Linked DNA regions of Stegostoma tigrinum. The protein of the gene in region 2 purifies or fractionates together with the protein of the main gene of each other region. This does not show direct contact. Links are inferred from orthologs where the notes say so. Each region holds a gene or a part of one and is shown on either strand. Other genes may lie near its edges. The genes, in order: insig1 and rnf139.

The links.
Region 1: the proteins of rnf139 (region 2) and insig1 purify together in Homo sapiens (affinity purification with western blotting, with the first as the bait; 3 studies listed by BioGRID). This does not show direct contact. The link is inferred for Stegostoma tigrinum from reciprocal best matches to the Homo sapiens genes RNF139 and INSIG1.

Annotation. Positions count from the first base shown.
Region 1 is NC_081355.1:142,089,022-142,101,751, forward strand, and holds the start of insig1 (insulin-induced gene 1 protein), read right to left. Parts: upstream 5,307-12,730; 5' UTR 5,031-5,306; intron 5,007-5,030; exon of another isoform or gene 4,945-5,006; intron 4,567-4,944; 5' UTR 4,510-4,566; coding exon 4,182-4,509; intron 3,251-4,181; exon of another isoform or gene 2,597-3,250; coding exon of another isoform or gene 2,560-2,596; intron 1,772-2,559; coding exon 1,647-1,771; intron 1-1,646. UniProt on the Homo sapiens protein: Oxysterol-binding protein that mediates feedback control of cholesterol synthesis by controlling both endoplasmic reticulum to Golgi transport of SCAP and degradation of HMGCR.
Region 2 is NC_081358.1:76,981,108-76,993,602, reverse strand, and holds the start of rnf139 (E3 ubiquitin-protein ligase RNF139), read right to left. Parts: upstream 5,747-12,495; 5' UTR 5,396-5,746; coding exon 5,233-5,395; intron 1-5,232. UniProt on the Homo sapiens protein: E3-ubiquitin ligase; acts as a negative regulator of cell proliferation through mechanisms involving G2/M arrest and cell death.

The DNA.
Region 1 (12,730 bases), on a different chromosome or scaffold from region 2:
AGGTCATCCATCTGAATACTGGCTTAATGGCTCAGTGCCAAGTTCTGTTTAACAAAAAGCTCTGATTGGCCTTTGGATTTTTTTTTCTATGCTAAAGGTGTCACATAAATGCAAGTTGTTGTTGATGGAGAGATAAATGTTATGCCAAATACTAACTCATTCCATCTCTGAGAACAGTTGTGAGGGATACTTTGCCTCCTAACAAATAGGATCTCAGAACAAAATAAAGAACTGCAGATGCTGGGGAATGAAAACAAACGAGAATAGAAGTTTCTGAGGAAACTCTGGCAGCATCTATGAAGAAAAAGCAGAGTTAAATGTTTCGAGTCATTTAATGCAAAGTGAAAAGTTTTAACTCAGCAGGTCTGGAACCATCTATGAAGAGAAAGCAAGGTTAATGTTTTGAGTGCAATGACCCTTCTTCAGAATATCAAATTTGGAGTATCAGGTTCTGAAGTCACGGGGCCCGAAACAATAACTCTGCTTTCTCTCCATATGGTGGAGTTTAAAAACAGGGAATCGATGCTGCAGTTGTTTCGGGTCCTGTGAGGCCACTTGGAGTACTACGTGCAGTTTTGGTCTCCTTACTTGAGAAGGAATATACTAGCACTGGAGGGGGCGTAGAGGAGATTCACTTGGTTGATTCCAGAGTTGAGAGGGTTGGATTATGAGGAGAGACTGAGCAGGCTGGGATTATATTCATTGGAATTCAGAAGAATGAGGGGAGATCTCATAGAAGCATATAAGATTATGAAGGGAATAGATAAGGTGGAGGCAGGGAGGTTGTTTCCACTAGCAGGTGAAACTAGGACCAGGGGGCATAGCCTCAAACTAAAGGGAAGCAGATGTAGGGCTGAGGTCAGGAGGAACTTCTTCACCCAAAGGGTCATGAATCTGTGGAATTCCCTGCCCAGTGAAGTGGTTAAAGCCAGCTCGCTGAATGTGTTTAAGGCAAGGCTAGATAAATTTTTGAATAATAAAGAAATTAAGGGTAATGGTGTGTGGGCAGGTAAATGGAGCTGAGTCTCAAAAAGATCAGCCATGATCTTATTGAATGGTGGGGCAGGCTCGAGGGGCCGGATGGCCTACTCCTGCTCTTAGTTCTTATGTTCTGTCCATAGATAGTTCCAGACCTGCTGAGTTAAAACTTTTCATTTTGCATTAATCAGGACCACAAGAAAAACTCAGAAGAAAAGGGACACCAATTTGTACAGCATTTACGTAGTATCCCATGTTTAAGTCTGTTTCTTGCAGCCAGTGCTGGTAAGTACAACTTTTTAGCAATGTTTACCTTCTGTACAACCAAGCAATTTTTGAACTTTTAGATAGTGATTGCAGTGAAGTAATCAAACAGCTATCTATAATTCTCTTCATTTTAGTTTGTTATCACTTATAAAGTTCACTTCTTTGTAATGAGTTCGTTTCCCTGATGGTTCTCTCACATTTAAGCAAACCTTACTCTCATCCACTTTGATATCTCCTGGTTAGAACGTTGTAATATCCAGGTCCTGTTGGAGACAGAAGAGAAATGTAACTTCCTTCTCAAGTGTTTTTCTGTCCTTTTCAAAATTAAGACACCACTTTACGCTAAAAATAATAATTGGGGGGAACGATAATTTTTGTCCCATTAACAATTGGAAGGATACAGCACTTGCGTGGTTGATGCCAACGAAAACTGCTACACATCTCATGACACTTGCCCACTCTCTTTTGAATTTGTGAGGCTCTCCAAGGTGGCTGTCAATGCAGGGATACAGCAGACCTACCACAGCTGAGGAAAGGTTAGATGATAAATTAGTTGCAAACTTTAAACTTCATCTAGAAGAACATTTTTTAAAGCTAGCTGTTATGGATTTCTTAAAATGCTTACAGATTTCTGCAAGGTAAAATACTTATCTTTCACTACATGAATAGGATAAAAATTGTCAATAGTTTGGTGTGTTAAAATGTAACTAAAAAGGGGAAAACAACCAAAAATAAATGCTGGAGATGGACAATGTAAAAATTAGCATCAGATAGAACAGATCACCATTTAGGGTTGAGCCTTTTCTTCTAAATGTTAAGTAATTTGCATGTTAATTGTGTAACTCCATCATTTTATATTCCTCTCTAGAAAACAGAACTATAAATGATCAGCTTCAATGAACAATGTCACTGCTGAGCTCAACTAATGACATTGCACAACAAGTTAAACCTATAAGCCCACAGAACATAGAATCAGAGATGGGCCTTTCAGCCCCTTGAGCTTGTTCTGATATTCAATGCGATGTAGGTGTGGGCAATGTCTCACTAACAGTGTTAACCATCATAAAAACACAACCCATCTTTCTGAACATTATCTCCAAATAGCAGGACTGAGAACAGTCACCAAGACACCTGAAGTTCACTATAACAAAACAAAGAACTGTCGATGCTGAAGGTTTGAAGCAGAAACTGTTGCAGAACCTCAACAGGTATTGCAACATCTGTGGAGAGAAAGCAAGAGTTAACATTTCCAGTCCAGTGACCCTTCTTCGGGGGTTGACTCGGCTTTCCCTACGTAGATGCTGCCAGACCTACTCAGTTTTTTTTCTGCAATGCCAGTTCCTTGTTGCATGAAGTTTCACTTCTACAAGAAAGTCACCACAGAAACTCCGAAGGTCGATCACGTGAGCTGTACAGCAGGTAACGAACCGTATTACATAAAATTTAAATCTTTTCTGGCTTCCTTTGAAGACCACCTCTCCTGTCTATTGCGCCGAGATTGGGTTGAGCCTATTTAAAAGCAGGTGAATGCTAACATCAGTGAAATAGAAAGGGTGGGGAGGGAAAACACACAATGTTAATAAGTTCAGCACTCAGCAGTATTACAAACTCTTGAGACAGGCTCAGCATCCTGTCACTTCATTTCCTTGCTTTCATTCTGTATTTTAGTTTAGAAAGCCAAGTGGTATGTTGCACATGACAACCAATCAGGAGCGAGCAGTCCAGCTCACCCGTTGCCAGCTGAGCCAATCAAGAAACAGCACTGCACTCCAAGGCCCCGCCTCCTCCAGCGCGCTTGCAATTTCATGCAAATCTAGCGACACGTGGCGCGAAAAACCTCCCTCAGGAATATAATTGAAATGAATCATCGGCGTTAAAAAACACTGGCATCTTCCGCTAGTGCGAAGATGTCTTTTGGAACTTCAACGTCAACTAGCCTTGTTTTATTTCCATTTCAAGGCGTGAAAATTGACAGTTTATGAAAGAAAAACTGACTTCCTATTTAAAAGTTAATAAAATGTGAGGCTGGATGAACACAGCAGGCCAAGCAGCATCTCAGGAGCACAAAAGCTGACGTTTCGGGCCTAGACCCTTCATCAGAGACCCTCTCTGATGAAGGGTCTAGGCCCGAAACGTCAGCTTTTGTGCTCCTGAGATGCTGCTGGTCCTGCTGTGTTCATCCAGCCTCACATTTTATTATCTTGGAATCTCCAGCATCTGCAGTTCCCATTATCTCTGATCCTATTTAAAAGTGTTCTTTCTTGTGAGCGGGGAGATATGTGTGTTGCAAATGGTTGGGGATTGTTCGAATTAAGCCACTTTTTTTTATCTTTAGAGGTTGGGAGTTACTATAATTTTACTGCAAGTTTCACACCAAAGTTGAGATGCATTTTCTGAAAGAATCGAGGATTTACAGTGTCACAACACAAAAGAGGTTGATATGTTACCGCGTTTGGAGAGAAAAAAAGATTTGAATTGCGGAAAATGACAAACACATGCTTCTGTCGAATACAGACGCCAAATGCTCAGTGTTAAAGAGTCAAGAAGTTATTGATTTAAGGGTTTGTCAGCTCTAGTGCTTACAACTCATTAGATTACCATGTTTGGTGACAGATGCCCAATGCAAGAACACAGTAGGATTGGAATGTTTTTTAATAAAAATGCTGAAAAACTAAGAACTTTTATCGAGGCTTTCAAAACATCTGTATTCCAAATTCAAGTCTAATGACAATTTGTTGACGTTTTAATAGGACAAGAAGTATTTTTTTAAAATAACATTATTTAACAGGTCTGGTTGATATTTTAAAGAGTGCCCCTTTTTCGTTGAATGGAGGATAAAGTTTGCTACAGGTTACTCTCTTGAACAACTTCAACACTGTAAAAAGGCCTAAACTTATTGGCATATTGATTTCTCCCTCCCAATACCCCGCGCTTACCTGCCGCTGTGCCACAACAAGGTGGTACCCACCAGGCAGAGGAGAAAATTGTGGCAATGACCTCTTCGGGGAACAGGGTGACGTGCCTCTGGATCTGCAGCAGGTTCAACACCAGCGCCAGAAACACTCCCACGGTGAAAAGCACCAAGCCCCGCCGCAGTAAGTTCATGGTGTGACCGCTAACCAGGGAGCAGTAGGCACTGACTAGGATCGAGCTGACGATGGTCATCATCTCGTAGACCTTTGCCACCAGCAGTGTGCCGTTACTTTCAGACGGATGTACCCGGGTGCAACTGCACGACCAGCAAGTTTCTTCGATCCTTGACATTTGGTATGGAGAGGCAACTGGCAGGAATTACACTAAATTGGCGGCGCCTCCACGGCCCTGCAGGGGTGAACAGCAAACGGAAAAGATAAAATCAAATGAATTCATTTGAGTGACACTTAAACACAACAGGGGAGCGTGTCCAAATGCCAAACTTTGTGAAATTATCGACACAGCAAGACCAGTAAATACTGAACACTGCGATATTCCAAATGTTAAGCCACTGAGAATGGTGGTGGATTTGCAAGTGAAGATGGTCTCAAGAGTTAATGGTAAAGAAACAGGCTCGCCCTGATACGTTAGCTTCGTTTTTTTTCTAGGCTAATGATGGCCTCAAACATAAGAGAGCTAGCTGTACAAACAGGGAGAAAGCTTTACAGGCAAACACATCCTATCGTCCCGAACAGACACAAGATAAATACTCATTTTACTTCTTACAGCCACACCGGGTTACAGTATAACCAACTCATCACTGAAGCACTAAAACTCATTCCAGTGAAATCAGCCTGATAAACAAAGCTTACCGTCCAGTTTTGAGCAGCGCTAGCACTAAGCACCATTAAAAGCCAGCCTTCTGTGAAAAAAAACAATGGGGGTGGAACTTTGTGCAGGCAACGCTTTTCAGGTTGCCAGTTGCTCTACATTGTATGTGTGGAATTATTAGGTCACATCCTGCAATGGGACTATTCATACAGCGCAGACGGGCAAGCGGTCAAAACAATCTGTCTGGTGAGACTCTTGGAGCCAATCGCAGTCTGAACGGCCCATATGACGTTAAGGACACACCATTCGGTGCACCGTCCGTTTGCACAGGAAGAGGAGGATAAACCACACCTTCCTGTCAAGGCATCATAAAATACACGCACTGTCACTCTTTACTCATCCGTTCTCCTCCCCCCCCACCCCCGCTTAAAGACTGAGAAATGAAACTGAAGTGCAGAGGAAAGCGGATTGAATGGTGACCCAGACTATTTGACAGGGTGAAGTGACCTTGTGTAAATTACAGACAGCCTGTGAATGTGGGAGGCAGGCAGAACGTGTAGAGGGACGAAGCAGAGCCTGAATCTGCAGCACCACCTTATTTTTAATGTTCTGTAATTATCTCTCTGCCTCATTTGATTGGATTATAGGTCATTCCTTGGTTGGTTATTCAGCTGTTGACACTTTTACTCACTGTCTAATACTCCTGGCCATCTGCAGAGACTTGTCATCTGACACTCGACTCATTAGAATGGATCTTTCCACCTCTCTGCTTGTAATCCATGGGTCAGTGTGCCTGCTGTCTCACCACACTTGACAAAAGGCTACACTCCAAAAGCTTGTGATTTCAAATAAACCTGATGGACTATAACCTGGTGTCATATGACTTCTGACTTTGTCCACCCCAGTCCAACACCAGCACCTCCACTTCCTGTCCTTTTGAGTAGGAAGTCTTCCAAACCTGCTAAGTTTCTCTTTCAATTCCTTCCACTTCCTGCAGACTAAGGGGATGGCCGTGGGCACCCGCATGGGCCCCAGCTATGCCTGCCTCTTTGTAGGTTACGTGGAACAGTCCCTCTTCCGCACCTACACAGGCCCCAAACCCCACCTCTTCCTCTGTTACATTGATGACTGTATCGGCGCTGCCTCTTGCTCCCCAGAGGAGCTCAAACAGTTCATCCACTGCACCAACACCTTCCACCCCAACCTTCAGTTTACCTGGGCCATCTCCAGCACATCCCTCACCTTCCTGGATCTCTCAGTCTCCATCTCAGGCAACCAGCTTGTAACTAATGTCCATTTCAAGCCCACCGACTCCCACAGCTACCTAGAATACACCTCCTCCCACCCACTCTCCTGCAAAAATTCCATCCCCTATTCCCAATTCCTCCCCCTGCGCTGCATCTGCTCCCACGAAGAGGCATTCCACTCCCGCACATCTCAGATGTCCAAGTTCCTAAAGGACCGCAACTTTCCCCCCACAGTGATCGAGAACGCTCTTGACCGCGTCTCCCGTATTTCCCGCAACACATCCCTCACACCCCGCACCTGCCGCAACCGCCCAAAGAGGATCCCCCTCGTTCTCACACACTACCCCACCAACCTCCGGATACAACACATCATCCTCCGACACTTCCACCATCTACAATCCGACCCCACCACCCAAGACATTTTCCCATCCCCACCCTTGTCTGCCTTCCGGAGAAACCACTCTCTCCGTGACTCCCTTGTTCGCTCCACACTGCCCTCCAACCCCACCAAACCCAACACCTTCCCCTGCAACCGCAGGAAATGCTACACTTGCCCCCACACCTCCTCCCTCACCCCTATCCCAGGCCCCAAGATGACTTTCCACATTAAGCAGAGGTTCACCTGCACATCTGCCAATGTGGTATACTGCATCCACTGTATCCGGTGTGGCTTCCTCTACATTGGGGAAACCAAGCGGAGGCTTGGGGACCGCTTTGCAGAACACCTCTGCTCGGTTCGCAATAAACAACTGCACCTCCCAGTCGCAAACCATTTCCACTCCCCCTCCCATTCTTTAGATGACATGCCCATCATGGGCCTCCTGCAGTGCCACAATGATGCCACCCGAAGGTTGCAGGAACAGCAACTCATATTCCGCTTGGGAACCCTGCAGCCCAATGGTATCAATGTGGACTTCACCAGCTTCAAAATCTCCCCTTCCCCCACCGCATCCCAAAACCAGCCCAGTTCATCCCCTCCCCCCACTGCACCAAACAACCAGCCCAGCTCTTCCCCTCCACCCATTGCATCCCAAAACCAGTCCAACCTGTCTCTGCCTCCCTAACCTGTTCTTCCTCTCACCAATCCCTTCCTCCCACCCCAAGCCGCACCTCCATCTCCTACCTACTAACCTCATCCCACCTCCTTGACCTGTCCGTCTTCCCTGGACTGACCTATCCCCTCCCTACCTCCCCACCTATACTCTCCTCTCCACCTATCTTCTTTTCTCTCCATCTTCGGTCCGCCTCCACCTCTCTCCCTATTTATTCCAGAACCCTCACCCCATACCCCTATCTGATGAACGGTCTAGGCCCGAAACGTCAGCTTTTGTGCTCCTGAGATGCTGCTGGGCCTGCTGTGTTCATCCAGCCTCACATTTCAATATCTTGGATTCTCCAGCATCTGCAGTTCCCATTATCACAAGTTTCTCCAGCATTTGTGTTTGTTTCAGATTTCCAGTATCCACAGTATCTTATTTCTATTCAAGTATATCCAGGTAGCAGTCGAGGAGAGTATAACATTCATTGTGTGAGGCTGAACCTCACAGATGCTGAATTTTCATCACTTGCAAGATTGCCAACTTGGCCTGTAATATTATGGTCACCCAATTCTGTTCTGATCCAGGGCTACTGAAAGCACTCAATTCATATCTCTTACGTGCAGAAAGCAGTTGGACAGAATGTCATGTTTTGGCATGTAAATTCTAGATAACGTTATTTTTAAGTGGAAATGTTTTGGATAAAGGAGTAATTTTATATTGACAATACAGTATGGAGCTGGAGGAGCACAGCAGGCCAGGCAGCATCAGAGGAGCAGGAAAGTTGACAAAGTTGAGGAAGGGTCCCGACCCGAAACATCAACTTTCCTGCTCCTCTGATGCTGCCCGGCCTGCTGTGTTCCTCCAGCTCCACTCTGTTGTTTTTGACTCCAGCAGCTGCAGTACTTGCTATCTCTGAGTAATTTTACATTGGGCCACTCTCCTCATACTCTCCCTTTAAATCTGTTTTTTCTCCAGTACCACAATGAATGGAATGGTTGAAAATATGTAAGAATGACTCAGTGAGAATGCTTGCTGACTCTAAATAGTGGGATTGAATAAGAGGAATATGAACACTAGTACAGATCATTTGAGCTCACCAAATGGCCTATTTCTGCAATTCTATGCAACAAGGTCCCTGCAATTCCAGTTGTATTTTCTCCACAGTAACTTTATCTGATATAGGGTACTCTCTGAGTGAAGGACCAGTCTCTATTGATAGTGCAAGAAAATGATGGGGCTACAAGATCAGCCATAATCTCAATTCAGTGGCTCAAAGAGCTGAATGGTCTGCTGCTGCCCTTACTTCTTGTGTTCTTATGATAGCAGACACTTTCTACATTCAGCATGTCATGTGTGCAAATCCAATTTAACCCAGATTTGAATCAAAGCAAAATTCTCTGGATGCTGGAATATGTTTATTCCTTCACAGGATGGGGGTGTCGCTGACTAGGCCAGCATTCATTGCAAATCCCTAATTGCCCAAAGGGCAGTAAACAGTCAAACACATTGCTGTGGTTCTGGAGTTCCATGTAGCCCATGTAAGGATGGCAGTTTTCATCCCTGCAGGATATTGGTGTACCAGATGGATTTTTACCAACTATGAACAATAGTTTCATGATCATCATACAGTGTGGAAACAGGCCATTCGGCCTAACAAATCCACACTGACCCCTAAAGAGCATCCCCCTAACCTTTGCCTGTACCCCTACATTTTCTATGATTAATGCACCTAACCGACACATCGCTGGTTACTATTGGGCAATTTAGCAAGACCAATACACCTAACCTGCACATCTCTGGGTAGCAGGAGGAACCAGAAACTGCTGGAGAATCTCATCAGGCCTGTCAACATCTGTGGCGAGAGGCACCGAGTTAACATTTAAAATCCAGCATGACTCTTCATACCAATTCTGAAATGTTAGCTCTGTTTTGCACACTTCATGGATGCTGGCAGGCCTGCTGAGTTTCACCAGCTGTTTTTCTCCAGCCCCTTATGCTTTTAATCCAAATTTGGATACACCAGTCTGACCACAAAATAATTTGTCTTGAGTTATTTCAAAAGGAAAGAGGAACTGAAATATCAGCTTGAGAAACAGAGCATTGAAATATGATGAAGGGTCTAGGCCCTAAACGGCAGCTTTTGCGCTGCTAAGATGCTGCATGGCCTGCTGTGTTCATCCAGCTCTACACTTTGTAATCATTGAAATATGAATCTATTCTAACTTGCTGATTGACACTACAGGAAAACTGTAACTTCCTCCAGGGAGGTAAGTAATTGAAGTCTTGCTGCTTTTGTTAATCAATTTCCAGCAGCAACTTTCTGCCTGGAATACAGTCAGAATTGCAGAAATAAGCTGGCATCTTATTCTCCGACACTTCCGCCATCTACAATCCGACCCCACCACGCAAGACATTTTTCCATCCCCACCCCTGTCTGCTTCCGGAGAGACCACTCTCTCCGTGACTCCCTTGTTCGCTCCACACTGCCCTCCAACCCCACCACACCCGGCACCTTCCCCTGCAACCGCAGGAAATGCTAAACTTGCCCCCACACCTCCTCCCTCACCCCTACCCCAGGCCCCAAGATGACAATCCACATTAAGCAGAGATTCACCTGCACATCTGCCAATGTGGTATACTGCATCCAGTGTACCCGGTGTGGCTTCCTCTACACTGGGGAGACCAAGCGGCGGCTTGGAGACCGCTTTGCAGAACACCTCCGCTCGGTTCGCAACAAACAACTGCACCTCCCAGTCGCAAACCATTTCCACTCCCCCTCCCATTCTCTTGATGACATGTCCATCATGGGCCTCCTGCAGTGCCACAATGATGCCACCCGTAGGTTGCAGGAACAGCAACTCATATTCCGCCTGGGAACCCTGCAGCCCAATGGTATCAATGTGGACTTCACCAGTTTCAAAATCTCCCCTTCCCCTACTGCATCCCTAAACCAGCCCAGTTCGTCCCCTCCCCCCACTGCACCAAACAACCAGCCCAGCTCTTCCCCTCCACCCACTGCATCCCAAAACCAGTCCAACCTGTCTCTGCCTCCCTAACCTGTTCTTCCTCTCACTCATTCCTTCCTCCCACCCCAAGCCGCACCTCCATCTCCTACCTACTAACCTCATCCCACCTCCTTGACCTGTCCGTCTTCCCTGGACTGACCTATCCCCTCCCTACCTCCCCACCTATACTCTCCTCTCCATCTATCTTCTTTTCTCCCCATCTTCGGTCCGCCTCCACCTCACTCCCTATTTATTCCACAACCCTCACCCCATCCCCCTCTCTGATGAAGGGTCTAGGCCCGAAACGTCAGCTTTTGTGCTCCTGAGATGCTGCTTGGCCTGCTGTGTTCATCCAGCCTCACATTTTATTATCTTGGCATCTTATACACATGGCATTTAATGCGGGTGAAAGTGCTCCATAACTATATGTTAGTTTCAAAAACACTCATGAATTTGCAACAACATAAAATTACTGATATTATTTCTCACTGAAATAGACTATTGAGCCCAATCAGTCCTTCTCGCTAATAAGCTCCACACTAACCTGTGGTCATCCATTCTCAACTACCTCTATCAGCACAGCCCCCATCTCTCCGCTCGTACTCTTATCTAGTTTTCCCTCAATCATTCAACTCAATTACTCCTAGTGGTAACAAGATCCATCCACATTCTTTACCAACGCACAGATTTAATTATTTGTTAAATGCGTTCCATGACAGGAGATGCCTGTAAACTTTAGGTTCCAGTTACTAATTAACTCTTTTTTTGAATCAGCATCCACAGTCCCTATACCTGTCTGTTTGTCTGGCTCAATCTCTATCTATCACTGCCTCTCTCTACTTACAGAGATAGAAACAACAGAAAATGTTCTATTTGGACATTTCGAAAGCTTTTTGGCTGATTAATTATTTTGAAGTGTGGTCATTGTTATGGTGCAGTTCCAACAACATCAACAACTTGTATTTATTCAGTGCCTTTCTCACAGGTAAGTGCCTCAAGGCATTTGACAGGGGAGAAGGCAGATAAAAATTGGCATGTAGCCAAAGAAGTATTTGCTAGAATGGGCTACTAAAAGCTTGGTCAGACCTAGATGTTGGGCAGTGTTTTAAAGAAGAGGGAGCAATGGACAGCCAGAGAGATGTAAGAAAGGACTTCCCAAGCTTACAGCCTAGATGGCTTAAAGCAGAATTGCCAACCACAGTGCAAGGGGAAGGAAGTGAGGAATGCATGTGAAGTTGGCGTTGAAGGAATCTTCTTGGAGTGTGGTGGACTAGCAAGAGTTCAAAGACATCAGCTAATAAAGAGGTTTGTGTGTTTAACTTTCTTTCATTCACAGAAATAGAAGATAATGTAGGGACTAATGAGATCCAAAAAATTAAGGTAATTAGCATCAGCAGTGAAAAAGAACTGGAGAAACTTAAGGGACTGAGTTCTAATAAATCTGAAATGCAGATAAAGTTGCCATAATCCCACTCTCTCATTTGAGAGATGACTTGTGGGAAGTTTAAACTGCGGGTGAAGTTGAGAAGTTCGGATTTTCATGGTAACCTTAGTCAGGGTAAGAATGGAACCCATGGTATTTGCATCACTCTACATCATAAACCAGACATCCAAGCTTACTACCCCACCGTTGGTCCTCAAAGCAAATAACATTCATGCCACATAAATGTCAGGCTAAGACCATTATCAATAAGATAAAATGTAACCACTACTTCTTAACATTCAAGAGTGTTACAAACCCTGAATCCCCCACTATCAACATCCTGGGGGTTATCAGTGACTAGAAACTCAACTGGACTCACCACATAAACACAGTGATGACTAGAGCATGTCAGAGGCCAGAAATACTGTTGCAAGAACTCACATTCTAACTCCCAAAAGCCTGTCCACTATCTACAGGGTACAAGTCAGGAGTATGATGGAATACTCCCCACTTGTCTGGATGGGTGCAGATCCAACAATACTCAAGAAAGTTTACACCATCCAGGACAAAGCAGCCTGCTTGATTGGCATTACACCCACAAACATTCATTTCCTCCACCACTGCTGCTCAGTAGCAGCTCTATGTACGATCTATAAGATAGAAATTCACCAAAGATCCTCAGACAGCACCTTCTAAACCCATTGACCACTTCCATCTAGAAAGGTAGAGGCAGCAGATACATGGGAACACCACCACCTTCAAGTGACACCCAAATCACTACCACCCTGACTTGGAAATATATCACCATTCCTTCACTGTTTCTGGGTCAAAATCCTGGAATTCCCTCCTTAATGGTACTGTAGGTGAACCACAGCAGGTGGACTTCAGCGAGTCAAAAAGGCAGCACACCACCACCTTCTCAAGAGCACCTAGAAACGGGCAATAAATACTGGCCCAGCCAGCGATGCCAACATCGCATAAATTTGTAAAAAGTAAAGCTGCAGAGATCAGGGTTACAAAATCTGA
Region 2 (12,495 bases):
ACTCTACACACCCCTGAACACTATGGGCAATTTAGCATGGCCAATCCACCTAGCCTGCACATCTTTGGACTGTGGGAGGAAACGAGCACCTGGAGGAAACCCACACTGACACGGGGAGGATGTGCAAACTCCACACAGTCGTCCGAGGGTGGAATCAAACCAGGGTCCCCAGTGCTGAGGCAGCAGTGCTAACCACTGAGCCACCGTGCCGCCCCGTTCCTTGATCCTCAATGTCACTGAATCCAGCCAATCCTGTTCAGTAACACTGACTGCCACCCCAAACTCATTCCTGTATAATCAGAAATACGAGCTCCCACGTTCCCTGATCAGATTCAGGGAACAGTGACTCCAGTCTCTCTTGCCCAGCCTTTTTCCAATGCACGGAGAGTTACTGAGCAGAGGACAACAGAACACAGAGCACTACAGCACAGTACAGGCCCTTCGGCCCTCAATGTTGTGCCGACCTGTCATACCGATCTCAAGCCCATCTAACCTACAGTATTCCACGTACGTCCATATGCTTATCCAATGACGCCTTAAATGTACCTAAATTTGGCGAATCTACTACCGTTGCAGGCAAAGCGTTCCATTCCCTTACTACTCTCTGAGTAAAGAAACTACCTCTGACATCTGTCCTGTATCTCTCACCCCTCAATTTAAAGCTATGCCCCCTCGTGCCCGCCTTCACCATCCTAGGAAGAAGGCTCTCCCTATCCATCCTATCTAACCCTCTGATTATTTTATATGTCTCAATTAAGTCACCTCTCAACCTTCTTCTCTCTAACGAAAACAGCCTCAAGTCCCTCAGCCTTTCCTCGTAAGACCTTCCCTCCATACCAGGCAACATCCTCGTAAATCTCCTTTGCAACCCTTCCAAAGCTTCCACATCCTTCTTATAATGCAGTGACCAGAACTGTACGCAATACTCCAAGTGCGGCCGCACCAGAGTTTTGTACAGCTGCAGCATAACTTCTTGGTTCCAGAACTCAATCCCTCTATTAATAAAAGCTAAAACACCATATGTCTTCTTAACAGCCCTGTCAACCTGGGTTGCAACTTTCAAGGATCTGTGTACATGGACACCGAGATCTCTCTGCTCATCTACACTACTAAGAATCTTACCATTACCCCTGTACTTTGCCTTCTGGTTACTCCTACCAATGTGCATCACCTCACACTTGTCTGCATTAATCTCCATTTGCCACCTCTCAGCCCAGCTCTGCAGCTTATCTATGTCTATCTGCAACCTACAGCATCCTTCGTCACTATCCACAACTCCACCGACTTTAGTGTCGTCTGCAAATTTACTAACCCATCCTTCTACGCCCTCATCCAGGTCATTTATAAAAATGACAAACAGCAGTGGACCCAACACCGACCCTTGCGGTACACCACTAGTAACTGGTCTCCAGGATGAACATTTCCCATCAACTACCACCCTCTGTCTTCTTTCAGCAAGCCAATTTCCAATCCAAACTGCTATATCTCCCACAATTCCATTCCTCCTCATTTTGTACAATAGCCTATTGTGGGGAACCTTATCGAACGCCTTGCTGAAATCCATATACACCACATCAACCGGTTTACTCTCATCTACCTGTTTGGTCACCTTCTCAAAGAACTCAATAAGGTTTGAGGCACAACCTTCCCTTCACAAAACCGTGCTGACTATCCCTAATCAATTTATTCTTTTCTAGATGTTTATAAATCCTATCCCTTATAACCTTTTCCAACACTTTACCAACAACTGAGGTAAGGCTCACTGGTCTATAATTACCAGGGTTGTCTCTACTCCCCTTCTTGAACAGGGGAACCACATTTGCTATCCTCCAGTCATCTGGCACTATTCCTGTAGACAATGACGAGTTAAAGATCAATGCCAAAGGTTCGGCAATCTCCTCCCTGGCTTCCCAGAGGACCCGAGGATAAATCCCATCCGGCCCAGGAGACTTATCTATCTTCACACACTGTACGATTTCTAATACCTCTTCCTTGGGAACCTCAATCCCACCTAGTCTAGTAGCCTGTATCTCAGTATTCTCCTTGACAACATTGTCGTTTTCTAGAGTGAATACTGTTGAAAAATATTCATTTAGCGCTTCCCCTATCTCATCTGACTCCACACACAACTTACCACTACTATCCTTGATTGGGCCTAATCTTACTTTCGTCATTCTTTTAATCCTTAAACACCGATAGAAAGCCTTAGAGTTTACCCTGATCCTATCCGCCAAGAACTTCTCATGTCTCCTCCTGGCTCTTCTGAGCTCTCTCTTTAGGTCTTTCCTGGCTACCACATAGCCCTCAAGTGCCCTAACTGAGCCTTCACATCTCATCCTAACATAAGCCGCCTTCTTCCTCTTGAAGAGAGATTCCACCTCCTTTGTAAACCACGGCTCCCGCGCTCTACAGCTTCCTCCCTGCCTGACAGGTACATACTTATCTAGGACACACAGGAGCTTTTCCTTGAATAAGCTCTACATTTCTAATGTGCCCATCCCCTGCAGTTTCCTTCCCCATCCTATGCTCCCTAAACCTTGCCTAATCTCATCGTAATTGCCTTTCCCCCAGCTATAACTCTTGCCCAGTGGTATACACCTATCCCTTTCCATCAACTAAAGTAAACATAACAGAATTGTGATCGCTATCACCAAAGTGCTCACCTACTTCCAAATCTAACACCTGGCCAGGCTCATTACCCAGTAGCAAATCTAATGTGGCTTCGCCCTTGTTGGCCTATCTACATACTGTGTCAGGAAGCCCTCCTGAACACACTGGACAAAAACTGACCCATCTATAGTACTCAAACTGTAGTGTTCCCAGTCAATATCTGGAAAGTTGAAGTCCCCCATGACAACTACCCTCTCTCTCTCACTCCTATCGAGAATCATTTTTGCTATCCTTTCCTCTACATCTCTGGAACTATTCGGAGGCCTACAGAAAACTCCCAACAGGGTGACCTCTCCTTTCCTGTTTCTAACCTCAGCCCATACTACCTCAGTTGACGAGTCCCCAAACATCCTTTCTGTAATTGTAATACTGTCCTTGACCAACAATGCCACACCTCCGCCCCTTTTACCATCTTCTCTGTTCTTACTGAATCATCTAAATCCCAGAACCCGCAACAACCATTCCTGTCCCTGCTCTATCCATGTCTCCGAAATGTCCACAACATCGAAGTCCCAGGTATTAACCCATGCTTCAAGTTCACACATCTTATTCCAGATGCTCCTGGCATTGAAGTAGACACAGTTCAAACCAACTTCTTGCTTGCCGGTGCCATCTTGCTTCCCTGAAACTTTATTGCGGACCACCCTACTCTCAACCTTTTCTACAGTTGAACTACAATTTTGGTGCCCATCTCCCTGCTGAATTAGTTTAAACCCACCCGAATAGCCTTAGCAAATTTCCCCCCCAGGATATCAGTACCCCTCTGGCTCAGGTGAAGACCATCTTGCTTGTAGAGCCCCAATTATCCAAGAATCCAAAACCCTCCCTCCTGCACCATCCCTGTAGCCACGTGTTCAACTCATCTCTCTCCCTATTCCTCGCCTCACTAGCACGTGGCACAGGCAACAAACCAGAGACAACAACTCTGTTCATCCTAGCTCCCTGAATTTCTGCCTTAAATCCCCATCTCTCTTCCCACCTATGTCATTGGTGCCAATGTGGACCACGACTTGGGGCTGCTCCCCCTCAAGGATCCCAAAAACACGATCAGAGACATCACGCACCCTGGCACCTGGGAGGCAACACACCAACCATGAGTCTCTCTCGTCCCCACAGAACCTCCTATTTGTCCCCCTAACTATGGAGTCCCCAATGACTACTGCTCTGCTCCTCTTCCCCCTTCCCTTCTGAGCAGCAGGGACAGACTCTGTGCTAGAGACCTGTGCCCCACTGCTTTCCCCTGGTAAGTCATTCTCCCCCCTCCCCCCCAACAGTATCCAAAACGGTATACTTATTGTTGAGGGAAATGGCCGCAGGAGATCCCTGCACTGCCTGCCGGTTCCCTTTCCATCCCCTGACCGTAACCCATCTGCCCACCACAGACAAAGTTCTTGTCCATCATGGTGGAGCCCATTGCATTTTCTGATGTACACATTTGTAGGACAAAAGGTTCTCCAAAATTTAAGTTTCTCCATATAATCCTTCACATTTTTACACACCTTTGCTTCTGTAATCTTATGGCTCCTACCAATTTTCAATGTAATAAGATCAGGAAATTTTGGGCTCTAGCAACTGCACTAACGAGACTGCAGAAAAGCATCCGAAACTTAACTATCTTTAACTGCTTCATCAATGGCCTTGCTCCTTTAGGAGAGAGTTAGCTCAGTGACAGCTAGAGTGTTTAATACCACCTGCTCAAAATAATGGCACAGTCCACACCACATGGAGCAAGATTAGGAGAACACTGAAGCTCAGGCTGATAAATGATGTATAATAATATTAATGTTACCCAAGTGCCAGATATCAATTCCAGGAAAATTTAACCAATAGCCCTGGATAGTCAACACTAATATTAATCAAATGCCCCAAACATCAAAGGGTGGTATTTCCAATTTATCACAAATCATACTGAACCCATCAGAAACAAACGTGCAGCAGCTACAAGGCCTACACTAGTAAAGGAGTAATATGCTGGTTATAATCTACTGGGAAGGTAAAGAGTTAATGGAATACTTTGCTTGCTTAGTACAACTCTAACACCAAGCCTGACACCACCCAGGACAAAGCAATCTGAGTGGCAAATCATGCACAACTTCAAAAACTCACTCCTACCAGCAATGAATCCTGGTTGGGTTTTACAAGAACTTTATGCAAATCTCTCTGAAAACTCTTTCCAAATTTACCCTCTCAACCTGAAAAAGAAGCTTCAAAACTCAGCACGTATCTCCTCTCAGAGCAGAATACCGGAGAGAATCCCTCTCCTAAAATAGCTTCGGGGACTTGAAGTATTAATTCAACAACCTTTTTCAGAATTTAAGGATTGCAACTTGGGCTCATCTGTAGATAAAGAAAAATCATGTAATGAAATAAAGACGTGCCATTTCCCTCAGACAAGGGCTGCAAACTGGCCACGCAGAATCTTTTGCAAGCCTGCTCTTAACTAATCCAGAGTTGTTTGCGATACCACACGACGAGGATTTTTGACTTGTCCGACAGGACCACCCCCAATCACTGGGGCTGTGTGTTGCTCATTCGACAGTGGCCCCTCCTGCAATCACTCACCCAGCAACCGCTGTGATACTTGTCGAGCCACCGTGGACAGGCTCTCAAGGCCGTCAAAGTAAGAGTTCAAGATGGCGTCGATGACGAAGATGCAGGGGACCCGCAGGGCCACGTCCAGGACCCCCCGGAGGTGACTCCCCATTGACAGCCCCTGCGCTGACATGGGCGACCACCGGCAAACGCTGCGACCCGCTCACAACAAACTCCGCTGTTGGCTGAGAGAGTGGCTCGGCCGGCTGGCCAGCCAGCAGGCCAACCGGCCGGCGTACTAAAGTCGAACCCCTGTTTATCTGGCCGGGCTGTAGCTGGCGGTGAGTCAGCTGTCGGCCCGGTGTCGCTGTCTGCCCACGTCCGCCGCGACTGTCCGCTTCCTCCCCATCGCCCAGGCCGCCCTCCGCCTGCCGCGACTCCCGCTCAACGCGAAAGGTGCGTCACGTAGACTGGCACGTCATAATCGGACGTAGGAGGAATATGGAGGGCGATAAGATGGAGAAGACGCAGTGACCTCACAATCACAAGCAGGATGGAACGTTCAACCGGGATCGCCCGGGGGCACGCGGCCGCGTCACAATCAGACGTGCGCCGATTTCTGAGTTTGCGCAGAGACGTTTACTCCGATGCAGACCGTTGCCGTGGTGGTTCATATTGAAACTGTGCTCTTGCTGTTGATCTGTTGCAGCAATGCTTGGTGTAACTTGAGAGCTTAGAGAATGTCATTACAGCTCAGCAAGAGGCAATTTAGTCCATCATGTGTGAAAAAAATCTAGTCAGTCCCCTGCCACGGAGCTTTGCAAGTTTGTCTTCCAAGTGCCCGTTTCATTTCTTTTTGAAGTCATTTGTTTTTCTCTTCTTCCACCATAGTTAGCAAGTCTCATGTCATTGACGTTACTTGCATTCAGAAAATAATCTTCAATGCATTCTTCTGTATCTCCTTTCCAAAACAACTTTCAAAATTACCCCACCCCCGAACGCATCCGAAGACCTCCCCCACTCGTGTCCGCCCCCGTGACCTGTCCGTCTTTTCTCCCAGTGATAATGGGCACTGCAGATGCTGGAGAATCCAAGACAACAAAGTGTGGAGCTGGATGAACACCGCAGGCCAAGCAGATGAAGGGTCTAGGCCCGAAACGTCAGCTTTTGTGCTCCTGAGATGCTGCTTGGCCTGCTGTGTTCACCCAGCTCCACACTGTGTTATCTGGTCTTTTCTCCCACCTCACTGACCAACCCCCGACCCCCAAGTCCTACCTATTAGCCTCCTATCGGTCTTCTTGACCTGTCTGTCTTCCCTCCCATCTATCCGCCCCTCCCGCCTCACTGACCAACCCACATCCCAACTCCCTACCTAGACACACCTTTACTAGCTTCATCCCCACCTCCTTGACCTGTCCATTTTCTCTCCACCTATCTGGTCCTCTCACCACTTTCTGTTATCACCTCATCCTGTCTGTTTATCTCAGCCCCTTTCCCTTCCCCCATTTCTGAAGAAGGGTCCAGACCCGAAACCGATGTCAATTTCAAGCCCACCGACTCTCAAAGCTACCAAGAATACACCTCCTCCCACCCACCTTCCTGCAAAAATTCCATGCCCTATTACAATTCCTCCGCCTCCGCCGCATCTGCTCCCAGGATGAGGCATTCCACTCCCATACATCCCAGATGTCCTCGTTCTTTAAGGACCGCAATTTTCCCCGACAGTGGTCGAGAACACCCTCGACCGTGTCTCCCGCATTTCCCGCAACTCATCCCTCACATCCTGCCCCCGCAATAACCACCAAAAGAGAATCCCCCTAGTCCTCACATACCACCCCACCAACCTCCAGATACAACACATCATCCTCCGACACTTCCGCCACCTACAATCCGACCCCACCACTAAAGGCACTTTCCCCTGCAACTGCAGGAAGTGCTACACTTGCCCCCACACCTCCTCCCTCACCCCATCCCAGGCCCCAAGATGACTTTCCACATCAAGCAGATGTTCACCTGCACATCCGCCAATGTGGTATACTGCATCCGCTGTACCCGTTGTGGCTTCCAGCACATTGGGGAAACCAAGTCGAGGCTTGGGGACCTCTTAGCAGAACACCTATGCTCGGTTCGCAATAAACAAACTGCACCTCCCAGTCGCGAACCATTTCAACTCCCTCTCCCATTCCTTAGACAACATGTCCATCCTGTGCCTCCTGCAGTGCCATAATGAGGCCACCGAAGGTTGCAGGAACAGCAACTCATATTCCGCTTGGGAACCCGGCAGCCTAATGGTATCAATGTGGATTTCACAAGCTTCAAAATCTCCCTTCCCCCCGCTGCATCCCAAAACAAGCCCAGCTCGTCCCTGCCTCCCTAACCTGTTCTTCCTCTCATCTATCCCCCCCTCCCACCTCAAGCCGCACCTCCATTTCCTACCTACTAACCTCATCCCGCTCCCTTGATTTGTCCGTCCTCCCCGGACTGCCCTATCCCCCTCCCTACCTCCCCACCTATATTCTCCTGTCCACCTATCTTCTCCTATACCCATCTTCGGTCCCCCTCCCCCGCTCTCCCTATTTTATTCAGAACCCTCTCCCAATCCCCCTTTTCTGATGAAGGGTCTAGGCCTGAAACGTCAGCTTTTGTGCTCCTTTGACACTGCTTGGCCTGCTGTGTTCATCCAGCTCCACAACTTGTTATCTTAACCCTATGACTCGTATTCATCCCTTCTTCTAAATTTGCCTCAATATGTTATAGTCAAGAATGTTCATTAGTGATCATTACTTCCACAGTTTAAATTCATGTCTCTTGCACATGATGCTGAAAATAGTCAAGAAATTGCTATTTGATTTCCTGCTTTGTTCCTGAAGGCCAATGATTCTAAAGTGGTGAGAGTTTAAATTGTTTACTAAATCTTGGAAATATAAATAAGATTTTGCAAAACTTGTTAAGGGCTTAATATTAATCTGTGGTTCACAGTCTCAATGTTGGATGGAAATGGGTGTTGTCAACCTGCACAAACCAGAGTTGGGACCAAAGGTTCATGCTTCGAGGAGGCAAAGTTCCAATTTTGAAACTGTCACTCCCCCATTATCTTTTTATGTGCATCTGTGCTGTGGCAACTGGTGTCCATGAGTGGCTATGATCTGAAATGTGTTGTGTGAGAGAGTGGTAGAGGCAATTGTATCATGACTTGCAAAAGTAAATATAATGTCAGGCTGCAAGGAGAGGATGAAGGCTTAGCTGAAACAAAATCAAGTTACAGCAGATGCTGAAAACAGAAACAGAAAGTAGCAGAGATAACAAAGTGTGGAGCTGGATGAACACAGCAGGCCAAGCAGCATCTCAGGAGCACAAAAGCTGACGTTTTGGGCCTAGACCCTTCATCAGAGACCTCTCTGATGAAGGGTCTAGGTCCAAAACGTCAGCTTTTGTGCTCCTGAGATGCTGCTTGGCCTGCTGTGTTCATCCAGGTCCACACTTTGTTATCTTGGATTCTCCAGCATCTGCAGTTCCCATTATCACAGAAAGTAGCAGAGAAACTTAGCAAATTTGGCAGTCTCATGAAGATGGGGGGGGGTGGGGGAGAGAGTTAATGTTTCAAGTCAAGTACACATGTATGGCTGTTCTATGGAATTACAGCAGTGTGATCAGATAGATTTTCTTGCAAAGAACTGTCATGGAGTTTATGGATTAAATGGCCTTGCCTGTGCTTTAACCATTCTATCGTAGAATAGAGGATAGAACAGAGATTGGGATCAATTGAATGTCTCCCGACAAAGAATTGGTATGAGTACAGTGGGTTTAGTTGGTTTTATTTGTGCTGAATCATTGTGTGATTGTGCAATTCCAGTTATGTCAACTTAAAATTTGTTTATTGATAATTAATTCCAATTGCATAATTCTGTTCCAAAGCAACTTTCAAACACATCCGCTGGACAGTGACATTTATTCCACTGGCCTGAAAGACTTCTGCATGAATGGAGAGCTATGGATTGACCCATCTGAGAAAGGACAGCTAACATACGCTGCTGGGTTTCCTCTCCTGATCTATAAGTTCAATAGATTCTGGACAACAGGTTTCTATCACTGAAATAATGAGAATGACAACTCCTTGTACCTCTCTCAGACCCCCAGCTGGATCTCCTTCCTCAATCGTGCCAAAGGCTCTAGTTTGTGGGTCGGCAATGGCACAGTAATTGAAGGGTATCACGGTTCGCTTATGTCGTCACGAGCAGGTAGGCAAGGCAACACTAGGAAATGGAAAGCATTCAGGAAATTCAGGACAGATTCATACAATTGTACCATAGAGTGTAGACAATGCGAGCAAGGGATAAAAACGGCATAGGCGAGATAGTGGATCGATGTGCACAGGGAAACTGACATACAAGATTAGGATTGGGTAGTGGTCTACCCCAGGACCCTCAATAAGAAATGAAAATATAACATATTTTAATCCTAGAACCCCAACCTATCAGACTACTCTGAAAGCTGGACATAGCCACCATAAAGTTATTAATCCAATTGAATTTGTCTCTCTCAACCCAATGCCCAAAGCCCATAAAGAATTTCTTTACGTCTCAGACAAGATTTGCTATGATGGGAGCCTACTATACATCTCCAATATCAACATCGAGACAAACGTGACGTACTGACAGCTGTTGGGGCTGGCTATGGAGCAGGAGTCGCGACAGTCAATTCTGTCGATCTGTCTTCCTTGCAATAGCAGTTAATAGATCTAAAGGGAGAAATGAAGAAGCGCATGCAAATGGGACTAGACCACCACCACAAAACGACCGACAATGGTGCCAGAGATACCAGGATACATGTTAAGGCCATTTCCTTACTGGAAGACGCTGGGAAGACCACCGAGACTAACTGCGTGAGAATTAACAATAATACAAAGGGCGCCCAGAAACTGTGTCTGTGTGTTGTGATTGCTTCCTGCATTCTGACAGACTACCAAACCCATATGACCATACTTTTGAATCACTGGCTCCCCTCCTGGATTCAAGATCAAGACCTCCAAGCAGTGAGTTGTGGACATACACCCTTGTACCAGGGAGCTGGCACAAACTTTCATTGTTATACCCCTGATGTGCCAAATGTAGTGGGAATACATTTGAGGGTTCCAGAGTATGCTAATTTATCTTTACCTCTTTTCCGTCTCCATGTTCCGGGATATTTTAATAGGACTGAACACAAGGCTCTCAAAGACAACTGAAAGCTGTTAACAAGGAAAAGTCCTTGGACAGGACACATTTTTGTTATGGCCAACCGATACGATTTCCAAAAGCACCCACTATGGAGTGCAACTGTGACATCCAAAAGAACCAAGTCCAATGAACATGTTATGCGATTATGAACCAACAACCATTTTAACTCCCCCCACCCCCCATTCTGCAGACAACTTGTCCATCCTGGACCTCCTGCAGTGCCACAATGATGCTACCCGAAAGTTGCAGGAACAGTAACTCATATTCCGCTTGGGAACCCTGCAGCCCAATGGTATCAATGTGGACTTCACAAGCTTCAAAATCTCCCCTCCCCCTACTACATCCCAAAACGAGCCCAGCTTGTCCCCACCTCCCTAACCTGTCCTTCCTCCCACCTATCCCCTCCTCCCACCTGAAGCCGCACCCCCATCTCTTACCTACCAACATCATCCTGCCTCCTTGACATGTCCGTCCTCCCTGGACTGACCTATCTCCTCCCTACCTCCCCACCTACACTCACCTTTACTGGCTCCATCCCCGCCTCTTTGACTGGTCTATCTCCTCTCCCACCTATCTTCTCCTCTATTCATGTTCTATCCGCCTCCTCCCCTCCCTATTTATTTCAGAACTCCCTTCCCCTCCCCCATTTCTGAAGAAGGGTCTAGGCCCGAAACATCAACTTTCCTGCTCCTATGACGCTACTTGGCCTGCTGTGTTCATCCAGCTCTACACTTTGTTATCAAGTATACATTGCTACTCCAGCAAAGCATTATAACAAAAGACACCCGAACTGCTCCTTTGAGGGACATTATCTAGTCATAACTAACCTAAAGGAAATAAATCACTGTTGGAGGGGAGACTATTAGCCCCCTGCACCAGGGTATCAAGGGAAAGGTAAAATCTTACAGTATCTTCCACACTGGAAGCAGAACTAACATGACCTACAAGACCTTCTCCCAGCCTTACTTGTACTGTCTCCCCATGCACCATTATTGGCAACAGTTATTAACTGGAGCCCAGGATGTGGAACACCAGTGAATACAAGAAGGTATCCAGATCAAAAAGACCAAATCTAAGATTGAGGAAGTTTTCCATGGAGTTTAATGGTATGAGCTTTTGTGGAATTGGGGATAAACTACCGATATGCACCCTTGGATCAGGATTATCTCTCACATCTTCACTGTCTTACAAGAAGTCGTCCTAATCATTCTTATCATGTTCTGAGGAAGGGTCACCGGACCCGAGACGTTAACTTTGTTTTCTCCTCCACAGATGCTGCCAGACCTGGTGAGCTTTTCCAGCAACTTTGTTTTTGTTCCGGATTTACAGTTCTTTTGATTTTCATTCTTTTATTGTTCTCGTCCGCTACATACAGAGAAAGTTGACTCAAACTGCATGTGGGGAAAAACTTATTCCCTCAACTGGCAGAGCAGTGAAAAAGGAACCCATATTCAGACCACCACCCTAACAACTGGAAAGTCTCCAATTGGCCTCGTGGCCACGTGGATTGGCCATGGGCCAGAAAGGGGTGGGGGTGGAGCTGAAATAGGGGAATGAGGAGTGTGGGTCCTTTTAGTTTTTAAAAGTTACAGAATGCCAAAAAGAATATGAAGCCTATATGGGATAACAAGGTGTGGAGCTGGATGAACACAGCAGGCCAAGCAACATCAGAGGAGCAGGAAGGCTGATGTTTCGGGCCTAGACCTGATTTGACTGGGCTGGGAATCATATATGCACTGAATAACAGCAGAAGGGGTAGTAGTGTGATTGTCGTGGCTGGGTCTTGAGATTTCACTATTCATAGTTTACTCATTCATTCATTTAAATTTCTTGAAGGGAACATTAATGTTATCTTTTCTAGTTTTGGGTGGCATGGTGGCTGGGATGGTATTGTTTTGAACAGATTACAAAGTTAACATATACTCAGGGATAGCCTCTGATGTAGACATAGGTCTGGACACTGCTAGCAGCATGGGGCGGAAAGGGTTAACATAGAATAGAATACAGCGCAGAACAGGCCCTTCGGCCCTCGATGTTGCGCCGACCTGCGAACTAACCTAAGCTCCTCCCACTACAC